Arabidopsis thaliana: one gene and its partner. The protein of the gene in region 1 interacts with the protein of each later gene in a pairwise test. Each region holds a gene or a part of one and is shown in the gene's direction. Other genes may lie near its edges.

Region 1 (10,338 bases):
ATGAATTTGGTTGGCAGAGAAGAGGTGCTTTGCTAGGGGCGGTCTTGGCTCTAGCTTCTTACTTCTACTCCCTGCACACAAAAAAGAAGAAGGAGATCGCAGAACTGAACAAGAGAGAGAACAACAACAGTGAAGCTTAGTCTCTCTATAATATACATAGATGATACTCTTATTACTTTATGTGTCTTGCAGATACAAATACTGTGCTTGTCCTGCAAGTGTCCTTTATTGACTCAGAAGTTGTATACATCCAAATGAGAGACTAAAAATACATCCGTGATGATATCGTATATATCTATCTCAATAACAGCTACAAATAATCCCCTCGCAGATAATCGAATCTACGAGGTTTTTGTATGGATGAGTTTGAATTTTCTGTAACATGTGCGTAAAACTTCTCTCACATAACCCATTCCTCAAATCGGCCAAGTTGTTTTGAAGAATTCTTCTTCCAGAAGGGCTTGATCGCAGTGAAATTACCAGTTTTCTGTCAGAAAAGAAATAGCTTCATCAGTCAACAAAACATAGAAGTAGGCATCGTGATCAGTATGCATATATCCACAGCTAAAATACCTTAAGGCAGAGACTTCTGGTTGTATCACAAACAGGGTAATCATGTGGACAACAATGACGACCATCCTTGCAACACACAGCGGATTCTATCTCGCAGCATTTCCATGAGAAGCATAAACCAAACAATTCTCTTGCACAGCAACAAGTCTCTCCAGATGAACAATACGTGAAAAGGTTGCATTTTGTAGGGCCAGGAGGGGACGGTGGAGGCGGGTTTGGATGTGTCTTGATGGGATATGAAGCAAGCATGTTGATTCCGCAAACGCCGTCTGAATTTTCAGTGTTACGCTGCATGTGCATAAACCCATCCATTCCCCAACTTTTTCCCCATGAGTTTTTCACAATCCAATAATCAACACCATTCTGTGAACCATATCCTACTATGAGCACAGCATGATCCAATGATGTCGAACACGGGCCAGAGAATATTCCCTGCATCAAAAGGTAAAATTTCTAAACAATGAGACGTTGAACATTCAGAAAATAGAGTAGGTTGATCACTAATCTTACAACTTACACTAGAATATAGCTGAAACGCTCTCTCGCTTCCACAGATGCCAACACTAACTGGCTGAGCCGCTACAGCCTCCATTAACGCTTTCTCATCATTTGATTTTACACCAGCATAGCTATCAATTGTCACAACCTTTTGTTTCAACTGCAGAACAAAAGAGACTTGTGTAAGTTAGTGATGTCAAAGATCAAGGAAACAAACAGGGAAGAGAAATTAAAACAAGGAGAAACAGCTAAACAGATACCTTATCCTTCTTACAGGTGCCATCACGTTCTTGATAAGGATAGTCTTTCTCTGTGTCTATTCCATGGTTTTTAATGACAAATTCAAAAGCATAGTCCATGAGACCACCATTACAGCCAGCATTGTAGGACTTGTCACAATCAATCAGTTCCTGCTCAGAGAGGCTGATGAGATCTCCTGTTACTATCTGGTTAATTCCCTCCATAGCTCCAGTCGCCGAGAACGACCAACATGCCCCTATAAATAATCATCATCAACTCAAATAATCAACTATGGATTCATCTGAGAACAAATTTACTATTTCTGAGACCAAATTCCTACATTGCCTACTCTATGAAACAATAACTTTCATAAAAGATACAATGATAATTGCTTCTAGACTTTCCTAAAAAGTTCAATCACTATATTACTCGCATACTTTCTCTTATTATACTCCTAAAAAGGACAAAAAGAGATGCAAAATTAGATTAGTGTGACAAACTACGTCATGATTGGTCTTCTTGTAGCATACGTACTAAATAACCACAGAAGATGAATCTGCACCATCAAAGATTCTAAAGTTTAAGACTTTCTCCGATCTAAATCCAATCTTAAAGTTCTTGAATCACATCCTAAGTCGCTGAACTATAAACTCCAATCAAATCTGAAATTTTGATGAAGAAGAAAGTTAAATCAAATACCGCAGCTTCCTTGATCTTTGACATTAGTAACAGCTCCCTTCTTTCTCCAATCAACAGAATCTGGAACCTTTACGCTACCACCGAGACTCTGTCCCTTACTAGCCATTATCACCGACGGAGCGGAAACAGAGAGACCAAGACGAGAAGCCTTGAACTCGTGGTGAGTCAGATCCGCGAAAGCATTGAGAGAGAGAGAGTAAGTAGCGTTAGTGATGAGATTGTGTTGCGTAACGAAGTCGTGATTATCTTTAAAGATTTGAATCCTCTGTTGCCTCTCTTCTTCTGAACCGTACGTTTTGCCATGTTTCTGGCACCAGTCGTCGAATAGCTCAGAGATGTCATCGGAAGATGACGATGAAGAAACGAGAAGAAGGAAGAAGAAAGTGAGAGAGATAAAGGAGGACGATGACATTGACATTTCTGTAATTTTTGTTTGTTAGAATCGTGGAGATAGTTTTGGCCTAGAAATAAGGAATAGCCTGGAGATTTGTTTTTTCCCATTTCTTTTGAGATTTAGCCAATAAGATTACAAAACGCTGGTTTTGCGTTGGCGTTTTAAACAAAAAGCGTTTGGCGTTGAAAAATTGCCGAACAAAATGATTGAGGCAGAAGAAGTGAACCACGTGTGTAAATAGGAGGGATGTAGCTAGAATTATCCACAACTTTGCCACCAGAAAATTTTAAATTGCTAAATTTAATTATACATATTGTGAAATATGCATTACAAACATAATGTAATGTTAATAAGTACGTTCATTATCATGAAAGCCTTTTAACATAAAAAAACGATCATTATCAAAATTTGAATGTTTGTTTAATAAAAAAAATGCGGACTTGTCAGTATTATCCTCATCATTCACGGGCTCAGGACCGGGCCGGAGAGGCCAATGGCAATCAAAAGCCTAACACATTTAGCTTCCAATCCAACTACATACACACAGTACTATCGTAAATCATTGTTTTGTTGTTGTTTGGTCAACACTAAAATCATTGTTAAATGGGTAATATATCTACGATACTTTATTAAGCAAAAGAAAGCAACTTTAGCCTTTTTAGGTTATAAGACCACCACTCCCTATTTGTGTAGGCTGATGAGCAGTACACTTTGGACCTACTTACGACTTTATTGCATTTAGCCCTTTTTTGCTTATTCTAATTAGTAAATAAGATCACGCGGAGACCAGAGAGTAGTAGTAACCAAAGCAATGTGCATGCCTAACGTGTATTTTCGAGAGAGCTCACCAAAGCAAAAATAATTAACTTCACTTTTGTGAAAACGGGAATGTATTTGATCAATCTTTTCGTATTTAGAAGGCTTATATTATGATAAAACCAATTGCAGATAAAAAAAATACATCCTTAAGCTTTAATATCACTAATAAAACCCGATACAAAATCTCCATCGCCACACACACAAAAAGAAGTGTGATGTGTTAAGCCTTACCTAACTGTCGACAAGTAAAGGCGACTTTTACTATATAATAACCAGCAAATACGAAAGTGGCTTTATTTTTTTGAAATTATTTTTTGCCCTACAACAGTATTTTAATTCACTAGAAAATTCCAAGAATATATTGTTGTTTTATCGTATCTCAAAAATCAAAAGGCACATATTAGAATATAAATCCCATATAGATGCATTTTGGAGTGGAGGCTCGAATGTGTTGACAAAAACATACATTTGAAGCGATTTCTAGTAATCACAAAATGTTGTTTTCTTTTGTAAATTTTCCACTATAGTTGAAATAAGTTGTACACCAAAAAGTTTGAATATCCGGTTACAAAAATTAGGTAGGCTGAGGTTTGAAAATTGAGTTCCAGTTGTTATGATATTTGGGGACATCCATTAAAAAGTATAGTATGAAATTTTAACAAGGTCTAATTAATTTTTTGAAGGAAAAAATATATAACTAAGCATAAATAAAAATCTTATAGAAACATAAATATAAGAAAAAGATTAATATATGATGCTTATAATGATGAGCTGTCGTCTCATATTCTCGTTTGATTCAAAACGATAGAAATCGACAAAGAAGGTGTGAAGAAGTTGGGAAAACAAAATTAACGCTTGAAGAATCTAAAGGTTTAGCTTTTTTCTCAATCCGATCATTCACCGAGAAATATTCTATTTTATATATTTATGTGAAGCTCTTCAATTGAAGAAAGAAGAAGAAAAGACAATCGTCAAATGCTTGACTTTGGTTTCAGTTCTTCTTCACGACAGCTCAAGGTGATGATCATTTTTATTTTACTCTTCTACCTAATCATATCACTGCGAATCTTTTCCAAAGTTTCGCTCTTTATTCTCTCAATGTGCTTTTTTTCTGAGTTGTTGTTGAACTAGGGTTCTTCTGGGTACTAGTAACTGTTTTGCTGATTTTCTGAGCTGCTTTTGGCTATAGAATTTCAGTTTTCAAACCAAACCTTGTCGATTTCAAATCAATTCTAGTCGGCAGTAGATCTGATCTGTCTCTATTGGGCTAGGTTTTACAGTGTATCAATTCACCACTAGTTCAAAGTTCATCAGTGCTTACACAAGTTTACTTTTTTTTGTATGTGTTCATGATTTAGCTAATGATCAAGATACTTGAGATATAATAACACACCTTATTTAATGCAAATGGGCCTACAAATTCTACTAGGAAGATCGGCTCTTTGATGGGATGGGACACCAAGAAATCACCATGGGTTTATGATGCTATCAATTACTAGTAGTACGTGTTATCTTCTGAATATATATCATGGCATCCTCTGGACTGGGAAATGGAGTAGGCACTTCGAGATCTGCCAAAGGTTTAAAGAGCTCTTCTAGTTCTGTCGATTGGTTGACCAGAGATTTGGCTGAGACGAGGATAAGGGACAAAGTAGAGACCGATGATGAGAGAGTAAGTCTTGCATTGCTTCTTCTTTTTTTCATGTTTATTCAACTGTTTTTTAGCTTCACTTCTTTATCCTGAGCTTATATATGTTATGGAGTTGGTTACAGTGTCTGAGGTTTTCGTTACGTTGCAGGATAGTGAACCAGATATTATTGATGGGGCTGGTGCTGAGCCTGGTCATGTGATTAGAACCACACTCCGTGGTCGAAATGGTCAATCAAGACAGGTTGGATGGTTATGGATAATTGTATGTGTTAGTTGGTAATGTAGTTTATCTAACTGTTTCTCATATAGATTTTTTTTGGATTGGCAGACAGTCAGTTACATATCAGAACATGTTGTTGGTACTGGTTCCTTTGGCATGGTTTTCCAAGTGAGCTAATTTAACATAAGACCCATGATGTTCGTTCTATTGATTTGGCTCCATTCCCCTGCACATTTATGTTTCCTTTTGGTAGGCTAAATGTAGGGAAACTGGGGAGGTTGTTGCCATCAAGAAGGTTCTACAAGACAAACGCTACAAGAACAGGGAGCTACAAATAATGCAGATGCTAGACCATCCCAATGCCGTTGCTTTAAAGCATAGCTTTTTCTCAAGAACAGACAACGAAGAGGTTTATTTGAATCTTGTCCTTGAATTTGTGCCTGAGACCGTCAATCGTGTTGCAAGAAGTTATAGTAGGACAAACCAGCTGATGCCATTGATATATGTTAAACTCTACACCTATCAGGTAACTATTTCCTACATTTGAACCTTTTTTAATCTTTTTTGTAGTTTTTGCTTCATAATATTTGTAAATGCATGCCAGATTGATAATCCGCTGGGTTTTCTTCAAACATTTTTGATAAGTTTCTGTTAATGGTGACAGATTTGCAGGGCGCTTGCTTACATCCATAATTCCTTTGGTCTTTGTCACCGTGATATCAAGCCTCAAAACCTGCTGGCAAGTTCCATTTGCGTCTCCCTGTTTTGAAAGGAATATATAACAGATGACCTTTTTTTTGCTATAACCTATTTTTGTTTGAATGCTCTATGAGCAGGAGATAAATAGACACGTATATTATTTACATTAAAGATGTCATACTAGGTTTGGATTCTGACATGATGTATGTTTATAACAGGCCTGGAGATTTAATACTTTTAATTTCATTTACTCCCTTCACAGAGGAACTAGGCTTCTCTTTTCGAGTTTATATTATTGAGAAAGCTAGTTGTTAAAATTGGATTCTGAAATTAACTTTGAGAAATTGAGCTGGGTTCTTAGAGTAACATGTCTGAGCTTAAAAATTCTAACTAGTTAGAATTGCTATCTAAAAAGTTGTTCGGTGTTAATTTAAATGCATTTATATATCTGACTTTACAGATGTTGTTGTGCAGGTGAACCCACACACGCATCAGCTAAAAATATGTGATTTCGGGAGTGCAAAAGTGTTGGTAAGTTTTATTGACACAGCTTTTAACGAATTCATTCTTGGAGTATGACATGTTCTCGTTCTCTGTAGGTAAAAGGAGAACCCAATGTTTCTTACATCTGTTCTAGATACTATCGTGCTCCAGAACTCATTTTTGGTGCCAGTGAATACACAACTGCAATTGATATATGGTCCACTGGTTGTGTGATGGCCGAACTGCTTCTTGGACAGGTTAAAGCATGATTTTTGCATTAGCTATATGTTGTTCTATTCATTCAGTTTATTCCTTGTCTTACTATTTTGTGCCCTTGCTAATTTGTCGTACAGCCTCTGTTTCCTGGTGAGAGCGGAGTTGATCAGCTTGTTGAAATCATTAAGGTAGCCTTTTATTAATTCTTTAAATTTATCTAAAATCATCAAGTCCTGATAAAGTGATAAGTTCTTTTAGAACTTTTGTTTACGTAGCAGACAGGTGCAGATTGTCAACTTTATATCTGAATGATTATTAGGCTTAGGCATCACAATTTGTTACGTCTATTGTTGAGTTCGTATTCAGTATAGAAGAAAGCAGTAACCTTTGGATTGCTCAGTCTGATTTCGAGGAAACCTTGGTTTTCTTATTTCATTTGCTTTGATATGTCATGCAGGTTTTAGGTACACCAACAAGGGAAGAAATCAAGTGCATGAATCCAAACTATACAGAATTTAAGTTTCCGCAGATAAAACCTCATCCATGGCACAAGGTATGCCTTCTAATGTTATTGATTATCACCTACCAGAATAATCTTTAATCAGTGGTTTTGTTGGTGAATGCATTTTTTCAAAGAGGAGTTCTGGTATTTGTGATGGTTTGGAGTATGAATCATTCAAGAGTAAATATCAAAAATAAAATTAATGTTGTCATTTCCTCTGCTTTATAAAACTATCTGTGGTAGAGTTGAAAACAATTGGCTAAATGATTGTGGCTTTAGTTCTAGTTTGAGTATTTCTCTCTGGTGGAAATGGTTTTCAGGATTTTGTTCTCTGACATTCTACAACTTGGTGGTTTGCACTTTGCATTAAGCTGTATCTAGGATTTTTTATTTTCCCATAGTAAAAAAAGGTTTAATTGACTTCAGTGATAATTATCTCCTTGAGCTTCGCTTCTCTCTGAATCCTTATTACTGCATGAATATTCTATTTATGCTCAGGTGTTCCAAAAACGTTTGCCACCAGAAGCAGTTGATCTTCTTTGTAGGTTCTTCCAATATTCCCCCAATTTGAGATGTACAGCTGTAAGTTAATTCGTTCCGTTCCCTCCATATTAGCATCTAATGATCTAAATTCATTAAAAACACTCTTCTGGTGTTATTGTAGTTGGAAGCTTGTATCCATCCGTTATTTGATGAGCTAAGGGACCCAAACACTCGTCTTCCCAATGGCCGACCACTTCCTCCACTTTTCAACTTTAAACCGCAAGGTACAGTTCCCTTATTTTTCTTGTTGGGCCTATTAAGAGATCTAACATATGTAGTATGCTCCGTTAAGTTGTTGACATGTTGCGTTGTGTTCATGATTGGTAATACATATAAACATCATTCAGTGTTAGTATATGCTCTTTGAATATTGAGGATGCTAAATAAATTGAACAAGTATGGTGCCGTTGTGGCCTCTGAAATATATGATTACTAAGCAAAATATATAAACACTTTGTTCTCCATAGACATGAACCTGTCATCCTTAACTTTCAGTACTTCAAAATCATGAACTGAGGTTTTATGTGTTGTTGCAGAGCTATCTGGCATACCTCCTGAAATCGTGAACAGGCTTGTCCCAGAGCATGCCCGTAAGCAGAACCTCTTCATGGCTTTGCATTCGTAAGACGCTTATCGGTTTTTGCATCTGTATAAGCAAGCTCTCTTGATATCAATATTTGGAGCAGCCAGTTTTCAGCCATTTGGCTTTTGTTTTTGGTGAGTTCTTTTTCTTTATTTTTTTTCTGTTTGGTTGGTTATATGTCGATGAGGATGCATGAATACAAACAGTACTTGAGGTTTGCTGGTTACAGACCACTTGTTTGTTTCACGGCCACCATATAACCTTATCTATCGCAAACTGTTTTAAAGCATGTAAATTACTAACCAAAATTAATTGCATCGTTTAGTTTTACAAATAGAAAAGAAAAATCAACTAAAAATTAATGACTTTGCCGCTCATGTGTTTGCACATTGTGTTTCTGTGAAAATCAAACCGATTCCTTCGTGAAAATAGCCGTGTCTTCCTCCAGATCGTGAATTTGGTACTTCATACTTACCGGTCAAAAGCTCAGAAGCAATATTTCAGTCATGGCGAACCGTATAGTATATATCAAGGAAAACCTCATAACATAAACAAAGGTTCAGAACTTCAGACAAAACCTGTTTTAGATGACAGAGTCATGGATCAATCTCAGCCCAACAACATTAAAACTTTTCAGCCCATCAAACCCACCAAGTTTAAATTTCTTTTCTCTCTTGAATCTTGATCCAGTAGCTGATCCGACAACGTTTTGATGTTTGGTCGAAACAGTTGAAGTCTCTTCCTCTTAAATGTGATTATCAATTAAAAAATATTATTTGACCCAAGATACATGGGTATTGGGCCTCCAAAAGTTTAAGCTTTTTAGTAACAAAATTAGGCCTCCAAAAAAATTTGTTATTGCAAAACTATATCCTATATTCTAAAATTTTAATATTTAGTCTCCATTTTTAAATTTATCTATTTTTTATTTTCTAAAAGTTATAGGATTTAGTCTTAATTTTTAACTTTTATCAACAAAACTCATTAAAGAAAAAATTATTTTGTATTGGGCCTTATCAGGACCGGCGTCTACAAATAATAATAGACAACAAAATTACACATACAATGAAGATGTTTTATTGGTCACGATTTGATTTGGTATTTATTCTTTAACTACCAAAAAAATAAGTAAACTCAAAAACAAGAAGGGAGGAACCACTTTAAACCCTTGTCTACGCTGGTCCGAGTCCAGAGTCCTCTACTTTGACAGTCTCCCTCCATGTCGTCGTTGTGTGCATCTAATTGCTATCCTTCATCTTCTTCTATCAATCTCTTCTCCAACAACAACAACCCAACTAAACCCTTTCTTCTCTCCCTCAGATTCGCCTCCTCCAATTCTCTTCCATTTGTTGCTCCTCTCAAATTCTCTACTACCAATCACGTCCTTAGTAACTCTCGTTTCTCTTCGAACCGAATCCAAAGACGCCTTTTTTTGCTCCGATGCGTTTCAGAAGAATCTCAGCCGTCTCTTTCTATCGGTAACGGCGGCTCTGGTAAATACCCTTTTGCTCATTATGAATTAACAAACTTGGTTGAATGTTATTGTAAAGATATCGAATTTGAACGCCATTGATTATATAGTAATATCGATTTCGATTTCTGCAGAAGAGAGAGTGAATGTTCTTGTAATTGGTGGAGGAGGGAGAGAACACGCCCTTTGCCACGCCTTGAAGCGGTCTCCTTCTTGTGATTCTGTGTTATGCGCACCTGGAAACGCCGGTATATCCAGTTCCGGAGATGCCACTTGTGTACCTGACCTTGACATATCAGACAGTTTAGCTGTCATCTCTTTCTGTCAGAAATGGAATGTTGGTTTAGTGGTTGTTGGCCCTGAAGTGCCTCTTGTTGCTGGTCTCGCTAATGACCTTGTTAAGGCCGGTATCCTCACCTTTGGCCCTTCTTCTCAAGCTGCTGCTTTGGAAGGTTCCAAGAACTTTATGAAGAATCTTTGCCACAAGTACAATATCCCTACTGCTAAGGTTTGCGTCGCTTTCTCTTTTTCATTTATCCCTGATGGTTACCAATTTCTTCCCTTGCTGTGTTAGGATCCATAAGGTTGCTATGTAAAGATTATAAGCTTTGAAGTGTTCAACTGTTAGCTATAGGTCTGCTTTAATCTAGCCTAGTACTTAATGTAGCAGGTTATAGCTGTTGTGAGTTGGTTAGAGAGCGGTTAGTGAGTGCTAGGTGTACTATGGTTTGGTTGGCTATGTGGTTG
Region 2 (8,193 bases), on another chromosome or scaffold:
AAGCGTAGACAAAAATGGTAGAATAAAATGGCATAAAGTCATAACGACAAAGCAAGAAAAAAACAATTTGATTAGAACTATGTTATTGTTGAATTAGTTTGTTATTTTTCATTAATCTTCCATAATCGACCTACGAATTTTCTTGCCTTTTATTAGTCCCTTCTATATCAGTAAATTCATTTTCTTTAAAACATATGTTTGAATCTGCTATACAATTAACAATGTGATCTCATATATGTTTAGACACAAATTGAACCTTTTCCGCAACGATTTTAAGTTGATACAAGAGTATTTCTATTGTATTAGTTGCAGTCATCATCATTATAAATTGACACAACAAAACCTCATTACCTAAAGTGGCATTATTTCACTGTATTCTCATAGAACTATAGAAGTCAAGTTATTTCTCATAGTTGAACGATATTTGACATCCACAAACTCTCTACCATCAAAAGTTATGAGTGTTACATTGCCAATCCGATATACCATCGAATTAGTGATCAATTCCTATAGTTACCTTTCCTCACATTCTCCAAAATCACGAACTGCTCAGTGCATCATGTCTTTAGAGCCCACTCATCCCCATCAAGTCGAAGAATCTACATGATTAAGTGTCATTAGAGTCAGTTTCTTTATATATTTAGCTCATAAATTAAGAGCTAGTAGTCTCGATCTCCATTACATGTTGCAGCGATTGATATTATACGTAAGTATACAATGCAGACATGCGTAAATCATCTTGTCCCAAACAAGACTTGAATCAGAAATCATACCTACCTCTTTTGAAATGTCGACGTCTACCACTAGACCACCACTTAATTGGTTAGTGTCAGTTCATTCTTTCATAATTTGAAACCTTCTAGCTCAACAAACATAAAACAAGAACAAATTCAACACACGTATTAAAAACTGTTGATCCCAACAACGAAAATACGACACACAGTAGTTGAATTTTCGTCACTTCGTTTTCATGAAATGGTTACGCTTTTATTCGTAGGTCCACCTCTAGTCACCACCACTCACACCAGTCATTAGCACTCGGTCCGTATTACTACTTAGATGATATGTTAAATCAATTTTGTTTTTTGATATAGTTATTGTTATTATATTTTTATAATATCACTATCAATCTCCCATCATCCCAAAGGCTAAAAAAACTTGATTACAAAACAAGTCATATCACATTTAAACACTTGCCGGTCCACTTTAGTATATCATCTTAGTTTGACTAGAAAAAAAAAACGTCATAGACACAAAATTTTTGGTTTTATCATTATCAACAACTCTGAAAATCATTTCATTTGAATCTGCAATTTCATTTCAAAAATGGGTCCAGTAATAAGTAATCAATATATTTTTCAATGAAATAATAAATAAAAATATATGTTTGGACAGCAAACTTTGCAGTTATGGGTCAGTACTCAACTGCAACAAAAAGAACACATGGTCTCTCTTACAGATCTCTATCTCTTTCTCTATCCCCACTCCCATCAATTTCCAAGTTTTATTATTAAATTATCTTGATTTGGTAGAGAGTTTGTTTTGTTAAAAATATGAAAAATTTGAAAACCAAATTAATTAACAAATGAAGGTTGGGTGGGGAAGAGGCAGATGTGGACACGTGGTGGGATATGATTGGGTAAAAGGAACAGTCAAAGGGGGCAAAGAGATTAGACCCGGAGACGATCGACGCTTATAGTCAAAGCAAGACACTGTCACGGTCAAATATTATGTCTAGCTGGCACTTTTGTTTGTGGTCCCCATCTCACTCCTCTCTGTTTTTTTTTTCTTTTCTAATAGTGTGTGATATTTATAAAGTATATTTCTCAAAAAAATATTTATTTTTAAAACTTTTTTATTTTGAAACTGCAATTATGTGAAACAATTTAACCAATTTTTAAATGTTGTTTTTATATAAAAATTCTTATTCGTCAGCAGATTAAATCGATTCAAAAAGTTGTTTGGCAATAAGCTTTTTTAATAGCTATTATAATTTTTTTTGAAGTAATATTATAGGGAAATATCCGTTTGGGTTAGAATTTAATATAATAAATCTAAAATATAGGTTTAGATTTAATTGGGTTCGAATATATTCGGGTAAATACTTGAATTTTCGGATAAAATTTTGGGTTTAAGGTAAAATTTATATTTTCGAATAAAAATATTTGAGTATTTTTGGATTGTGGTTGGATTCGATTTTTTTAGTTTAGGAATTTAGAATTCAATATAATAAATCTTTCGATTCGGATTCGGTTTTAGATCCAATTATTTGGGTCGGTTTCGGTTCGGGTAATCGGTTTCGGTTTTTTTTTTCAGTTTTAATTTTTTTTATATACTAAAAAGAGGTGAAGGAAGGTATTGGTATAACAAACAAAAAATCAAGAGTTGTTCCTTTGGAATTAATAACGATGATAAGATTGAAATTAAAAAAGTAATTAAGAAATTAAACATAGAAATTATCGTCACACGTGCCCCGACCTGTACGGGTTACTCTTCCCCGTGGGTGTTTGGAGTTTAGTGCAAACTTCTCAGCTTTTTTGACTACGTTGCCGGATTTTCTTTACTCTTTCATTTTTACCACTTTACCCTCATTTTTGTTTATCCTTCAACATTTTTTTTGTTTTTTTAACAAAATCCTTAACCTTAACAAACATCTTTTTAACATAAATGGGAAAAGTATTTATCCTTAGTTAGCGTGGATATTAAGAAAAAAAAAGCTAAAAGAAAATTTAGAATTTCACTGTTGTCTTTTTTTGACTAATTAAAGGATATTCCCAATTTTAAATCCAAAATATTATCAGAAAAAACTAAAACTATTCATTCACATACCAAAGTGTTTATTCCACACTTTATTGGAAGGAACAATTACATCTCCTGTATAATTTGACTGAAATAATGTGTTTAAAATTACTAATTCTTTATTATTGGGAGAATTTTCTTGGTTGCCTAATTAATTACGTTTTAAAACTATAAAAGGTAGGGACAAAATTGGAAATCAAAATTATTAAGCTGAGTTTTTCAATGGTAATTAAAAAAGAGAGTTGTATTATAATAAAACCGGGAGGTGAGGGCATGTCACATGTGGTGTAGCTTGCACGTGTGGTACGCGAGTCGAGAGGACTAAATGACCGGCTATAACCAGTGAATTCACCGGTCACCTTATCTTTAATTTTTTTAGATTTTCCACCCGAATCTTTCAACAAATCTTTAATCTCTCCCCTTTTTTCTCCTTTTTATTTTATTCACCCCATTTTTTTTTCCTCTCAAAGAAACAAAAACAAAACAATCACTCACACTACCTCAGAAGAAGGTAAGAGAGAAACAAACAAACAAAAGAGAGAGTACGGGTTTCTTCTTCGTCATTCTCACGAATTCGTGAATTTATTTTTGATTTCGTCATCTGGGTTTTCTCAAATTCTCTTCCTTTTTTATCTTTTGAGATTTTCTGGTATTGAAAGTTCAAACCTTTGTACTGGGTTCGTTGATTTTTTTTTGGTTTCCTTCTCATTATTCTTCATGATTCCTCCTTTTTTCTGTTTCTCGAAATTTGTGGTTATAAAATTCACATTTTTTTTGGGAGCAGTTGGGTTTCAATCATGTGTTTATGATGTTATATTATTAACAAGAGTTGAATGAATCTTCTTTTTGACCGTTGAAAAGAGAAAAACTAAATTAAAGCAAAGAGGAAAAAGAAGAAGAAGAAGATTGTGTTGTTGTTGTTGTTTTAACGCTTCTTTCTGAGATAAAGACATGCGTTTCTTTTTCAGCTCACATTATTTTCCCAAATGTTGTGAGTTTGAGAAGAAAAGTCTGTTTTTTTATTGAGATTTTTTTGTTTCTATAGATTCTATCGAAATGCCGATGTTTCAGCCGTTAAAGAGAGATGGGTTAATAGGATTTGAAGGTGGTGGTGATGGGCAAGTCTTAGATCTGGATACTGCAGTGAAAGATGGAGTTCTCGGTGGTGTTAATGGTGGTGGTGTTGGAGTTGTTGATGAGAAATTGGATCTGAAGAAGATGATAAAGGAGCTAGATTTACAAGATATACCTTCTGTTTTCATTTGTCCTATCTCCTTAGAGCCGATGCAAGATCCTGTGACTTTGTGTACTGGTCAAACCTATGAAAGGTTAAACATTCACAAATGGTTTAACCTAGGTCACTTGACTTGTCCTACTACAATGCAAGAGCTTTGGGATGATACGGTAACTCCTAATAAAACTCTTCATCATTTGATCTATACTTGGTTCTCTCAGAAGTATGTGTTGATGAAGAAACGTTCTGAGGATGTTCAAGGACGAGCTATTGAGATTTTGGGGACTTTGAAGAAAGCTAAAGGTCAAGCTAGGGTTCATGCTTTGAGTGAGCTTAAACAGATTGTTATTGCTCATCTTATGGCGAGGAAGACTGTTGTTGAAGAAGGTGGTGTCTCTGTGATCTCTTCTCTTTTGGGTCCTTTTACTTCTCATGCTGTTGGATCTGAGGTTGTTGCTATTCTTGTGAGTCTTGATCTTGATTCTGATTCGAAATCCGGCTTGATGCAACCAGCTAAGGTTTCTTTGATTGTTGATATGTTGAATGATGGATCTAATGAGACTAAGATCAATTGTGCTAGATTGATTAGAGGATTGGTGGAAGAGAAAGGGTTTAGAGCAGAGCTTGTTTCAAGTCATAGTTTGCTTGTTGGGTTAATGAGATTGGTTAAGGATAAGAGACATAGAAATGGAGTATCTCCTGCACTTCGGTTGCTTAAACCGATTTCGGTTCATAAACAAGTTCGAAGCTTGATGGTTAGCATTGGAGCAGTGCCTCAATTAGTTGATATCTTACCGTCTTTAGACCCGGAATGTTTGGAGTTAGCTCTGTTTGTTCTTGATGCTTTGTGTACAGACGTGGAAGGAAGAGTTGCTGTCAAAGACTCTGCAAACACAATACCTTATACAGTTAGGGTGCTGATGAGGGTGTCTGAGAATTGCACTAACTACGCGCTGTCGATTCTTTGGTCTGTCTGCAAATTAGCTCCAGAAGAATGTTCACCACTTGCTGTTGAGGTTGGTCTTGCTGCAAAGCTGTTACTCGTGATCCAGAGCGGGTGTGATGCAGCGTTGAAGCAGCGGTCAGCAGAGCTACTTAAGCTTTGTAGTCTACATTATTCAGACACCATGTTTATTTCCAAATGCAAACTCACAAGGACAATCCAATAGCATTGGCACTGATTGATCACAGGATTCAGCGGGTTATCCATGAAACGGTAAATGTGCATTGCATTACGAATCTGCCTTTGCCCTGATGTATATATAGATGATGAGTTTGAAGATTGAGCTATTGGTTTTGGTGGTAACAATTCAAAGGAAGAGGCAATCAGCTGATGGAAACATGGGGAAGACGAAGAAACCGGGTGGTTGAGGGATCGGTATGTAATGTTACCATATTGGTTCGTTTTGCAATAAGCATTGGGAATTAGAAAAAAACTGTGTAAAGTTACCGCCTCTGGCTCAAATCAATTTCAGAAGAACAAAGAAAAAGAAGAATTTGAAGAAAGGAACCATATTAAGTTAAACCTCTCTACTTTGGGTTCTTGTGAGAGGTTGTTTTGCTTTTTGACCATTCACAACAGAGAAAAAAAAAAAAAAAAAAAAGCAAAATCTTTGACCCTGAACTTGTAGAAGCCTCTTTTAAGCTTTTGAATCTTTTTTTCTTCATTCAATGTTTTCTTTTAGCTTTACTTAGATTAGGAATTAGACAATTGTCATGATTTCATCTTTGTTCTCAGCCTCCTTATTGTCTTCAACGAAGTAAATATCAAAAACGTGATTCTTGAAAAATCAATCACTGTTATTGCATAGAGTGACATCTCAAAGTACAGTATGATGTGAATTTTGATTCTTGTCTAATAAGTAGAGCACATAAGTTGTGGTGGAGACCAAAAGTCTCCATACATTGTTCTGAACTACTACTGTTGTAATGAACAATTGAAAAGAAATGTGAGATTTGACAAGTGAATCATTCAACAATTTCTACTGTTTTTTAACACAAAAATAAACATAGGCTTATTTTACTTGTCCTGTTTTTGGAAATGAGTCTGAGCAAATCTCTGTTTTGAGTGGGTTTGTGTATAACACAGTGTGATGTGAGAGTTTTTGTCTTGACATATAAAACTCTGTAACAGAGAATAACAGTAACCAAACCTATAGATGGGCTAGATATTGTACCTTATGGGCTTTAGCTACTAAGCCCATTTGCATAATTAAACAACGACGTTTCTTAAATTGAATGGTGTCCCGCATACCCTAGCCCCTAGATGGGCTGGACTTTCAATCTTATGGGCTATTTTTACGTAGCTCATTAACTAATCCAGCGACGACGTTTCGTAAGGTTGAATATTTAGCGTCAATGGTGTCTCGTTAAAGGTCGCGGATTAAGAGAGAGATACTCGAGAGACTTGTGAGAGATCCCCAAAAAAATGGCATGGCTTGCTAGATCCATTGCGAATTCTCTGAAGATCGATGAGGAAGAATATGATCAAAAGGAAACGATTAAGACCAATTCGATTGAAAATTCCGGCTCAGATCAACCGTCTTCGCCATCGGTGTTGCAAACACAGTCTCCACGAGGCGTGAAGGAAGACATCTCTGAACTCACCAAGACCTTAAGAAGTCAGCTATGGGGCGTTGCTTCTTTCCTCGCGCCACCTCCTTCTTCTTCCGATACGGCGGATCATGTGGATGAGGAGACTCGGAAGTCATCGGATCTCGCGGAAGGTGATGAGGATCTGATTGCTGGAATCAGGAACGATTTCGTTGAGATCGGAGGTAGATTTAAGACTGGGATCTCGAAACTCTCTGGAAACTTACCGGTATCGAAGTTTACAAATATGGCTTCGAATTTCTTGCAATTGGGATCGGAAGGTGTGGATTCGAAGAACCGTGATGTTGCGATTGGAAATGCAATTGGTGTGACGGAGGAAGTAGTTTTGTTTGCTAGAGATCTTGCTCTGCATCCTGAGACTTGGCTTGATTTTCCTTTTCCTGACGAGGATGATAACTTTGATGGTACGTTTTCGATTTCGCAGCAGATTCGACACTAATTTGTAATCGATTATGTTGATGAGGGAATCTACTATGGTCTAGACTTAGATATTCCGTATTTGAGAGTTTTTTCTGATCACTTTAGAGTTTAGGGTTTGTTTTATATGAAGGTGTTGTTGTTAAGTGGTATTTTACAACTGTTATGATCAGACTTTGAAATGACTGATGCCCAATATGAGCATGCGTTGGCTGTGGAGAATCTTGCATCGAGTCTGGCTGCTTTGAGGATTGAGCTTTGTCCTGCGTACATGAGCGAGTATTGCTTCTGGAGGATTTACTTTGTACTTGTGCATCCTATATTCAGCAAACATGATGCCTTGACTCTCTCAACTCCTCAGGTTAGCTTGATTCTCAACACCACTGCTGATCATTACTGTCTTTTTCTTCTGTTTACAAAGTTTTCGAGCTATTTGGATGTTATGCTTTATGTTTCAATGAATAGATGATTCTCTTTGTGCTAATAATGAACTTTACTAGTAGCATGTGAATTAGGTTTGCAAGTTTTTAATGTGAATTATTTGATATAAGAATGGGAAAGAGGGAAACTTCTATGATGTGAGTTACTGATTTTGCGTTTTCATAAAGGTACTTGAATCAAGAGCACTATTATCTCACGAGCTGTTGCGTAAGAGAAACAAAGATACAGTAGTGGTGCCAGAGAGTAGTGATAGAGGAGCTGATAGTGAAAATGTGGAACCTCTTTTTCAACCTACTAATCCTTCACCCAAATCAGAACCAGAACCTGTGAAAACGATCACTGTCGAAACAATACATTCGGCTGAGAGATCTGAGTTTGAGACAGAGAAGCACACAGTCGAGACCAAGGAGGTACAAGTTGTTGATAAGCCTGTCATCGAAGAAAGACCAGCACCAGCGTACCATGACAAGCCGGTGCAGAGCCTAGTCACTGGTTCTTCACCTAGAGTTATTGATGTTCAAGTGGATGATGATGCTGATGATTGGTTGAAGGATGAAGATAATGCAGGAACTGTTAGTGCCACCACCAACCATCTTGTGCAGGATGTTGATGAAGATGTGTCGTTCAGTGATCTTGAAGAAGACGACGATGATGTGCCTGTAAGTTACAAGAAATAATTCCTGATTCCA

What was found. The genes of interacting proteins can lie anywhere in the genome.
Region 2: the proteins of SK41 (region 1) and AT3G49810 interact in a two-hybrid assay, tested with the Arabidopsis thaliana proteins (one large-scale study listed by BioGRID).

Annotation. Positions count from the first base shown.
Region 1 is NC_003070.9:3,193,938-3,204,275, reverse strand, and holds SK41 (shaggy-like protein kinase 41), read left to right. Parts: upstream 1-3,872; 5' UTR 3,873-4,240; exon of another isoform or gene 4,241-4,652; 5' UTR 4,653-4,751; coding exon 4,752-4,895; intron 4,896-5,022; coding exon 5,023-5,115; intron 5,116-5,202; coding exon 5,203-5,262; intron 5,263-5,303; exon of another isoform or gene 5,304-5,347; coding exon 5,348-5,620; intron 5,621-5,758; coding exon 5,759-5,833; intron 5,834-6,267; coding exon 6,268-6,324; intron 6,325-6,392; coding exon 6,393-6,533; intron 6,534-6,629; coding exon 6,630-6,680; intron 6,681-6,949; coding exon 6,950-7,045; intron 7,046-7,492; coding exon 7,493-7,576; intron 7,577-7,658; coding exon 7,659-7,761; intron 7,762-8,073; coding exon 8,074-8,162; 3' UTR 8,163-8,557; downstream 8,558-10,338. Other genes in the region: PUP16 (purine permease 16), read left to right, coding at 1-140; XBCP3 (xylem bark cysteine peptidase 3), read right to left, coding at 401-487, 574-1,005, 1,091-1,231, 1,332-1,567, 2,011-2,428; PUR2 (Glycinamide ribonucleotide (GAR) synthetase), read left to right, coding at 9,340-9,613, 9,726-10,099. UniProt on the Arabidopsis thaliana protein: May mediate extracellular signals to regulate transcription in differentiating cells.
Region 2 is NC_003074.8:18,471,945-18,480,137, reverse strand, and holds AT3G49810 (ARM repeat superfamily protein), read left to right. Parts: upstream 1-3,105; 5' UTR 3,106-3,855; coding exon 3,856-5,202; 3' UTR 5,203-5,833; downstream 5,834-8,193. Other genes in the region: AT3G49800 (BSD domain-containing protein), read left to right, coding at 6,462-7,050, 7,237-7,424, 7,672-8,181. UniProt on the Arabidopsis thaliana protein: Functions as an E3 ubiquitin ligase.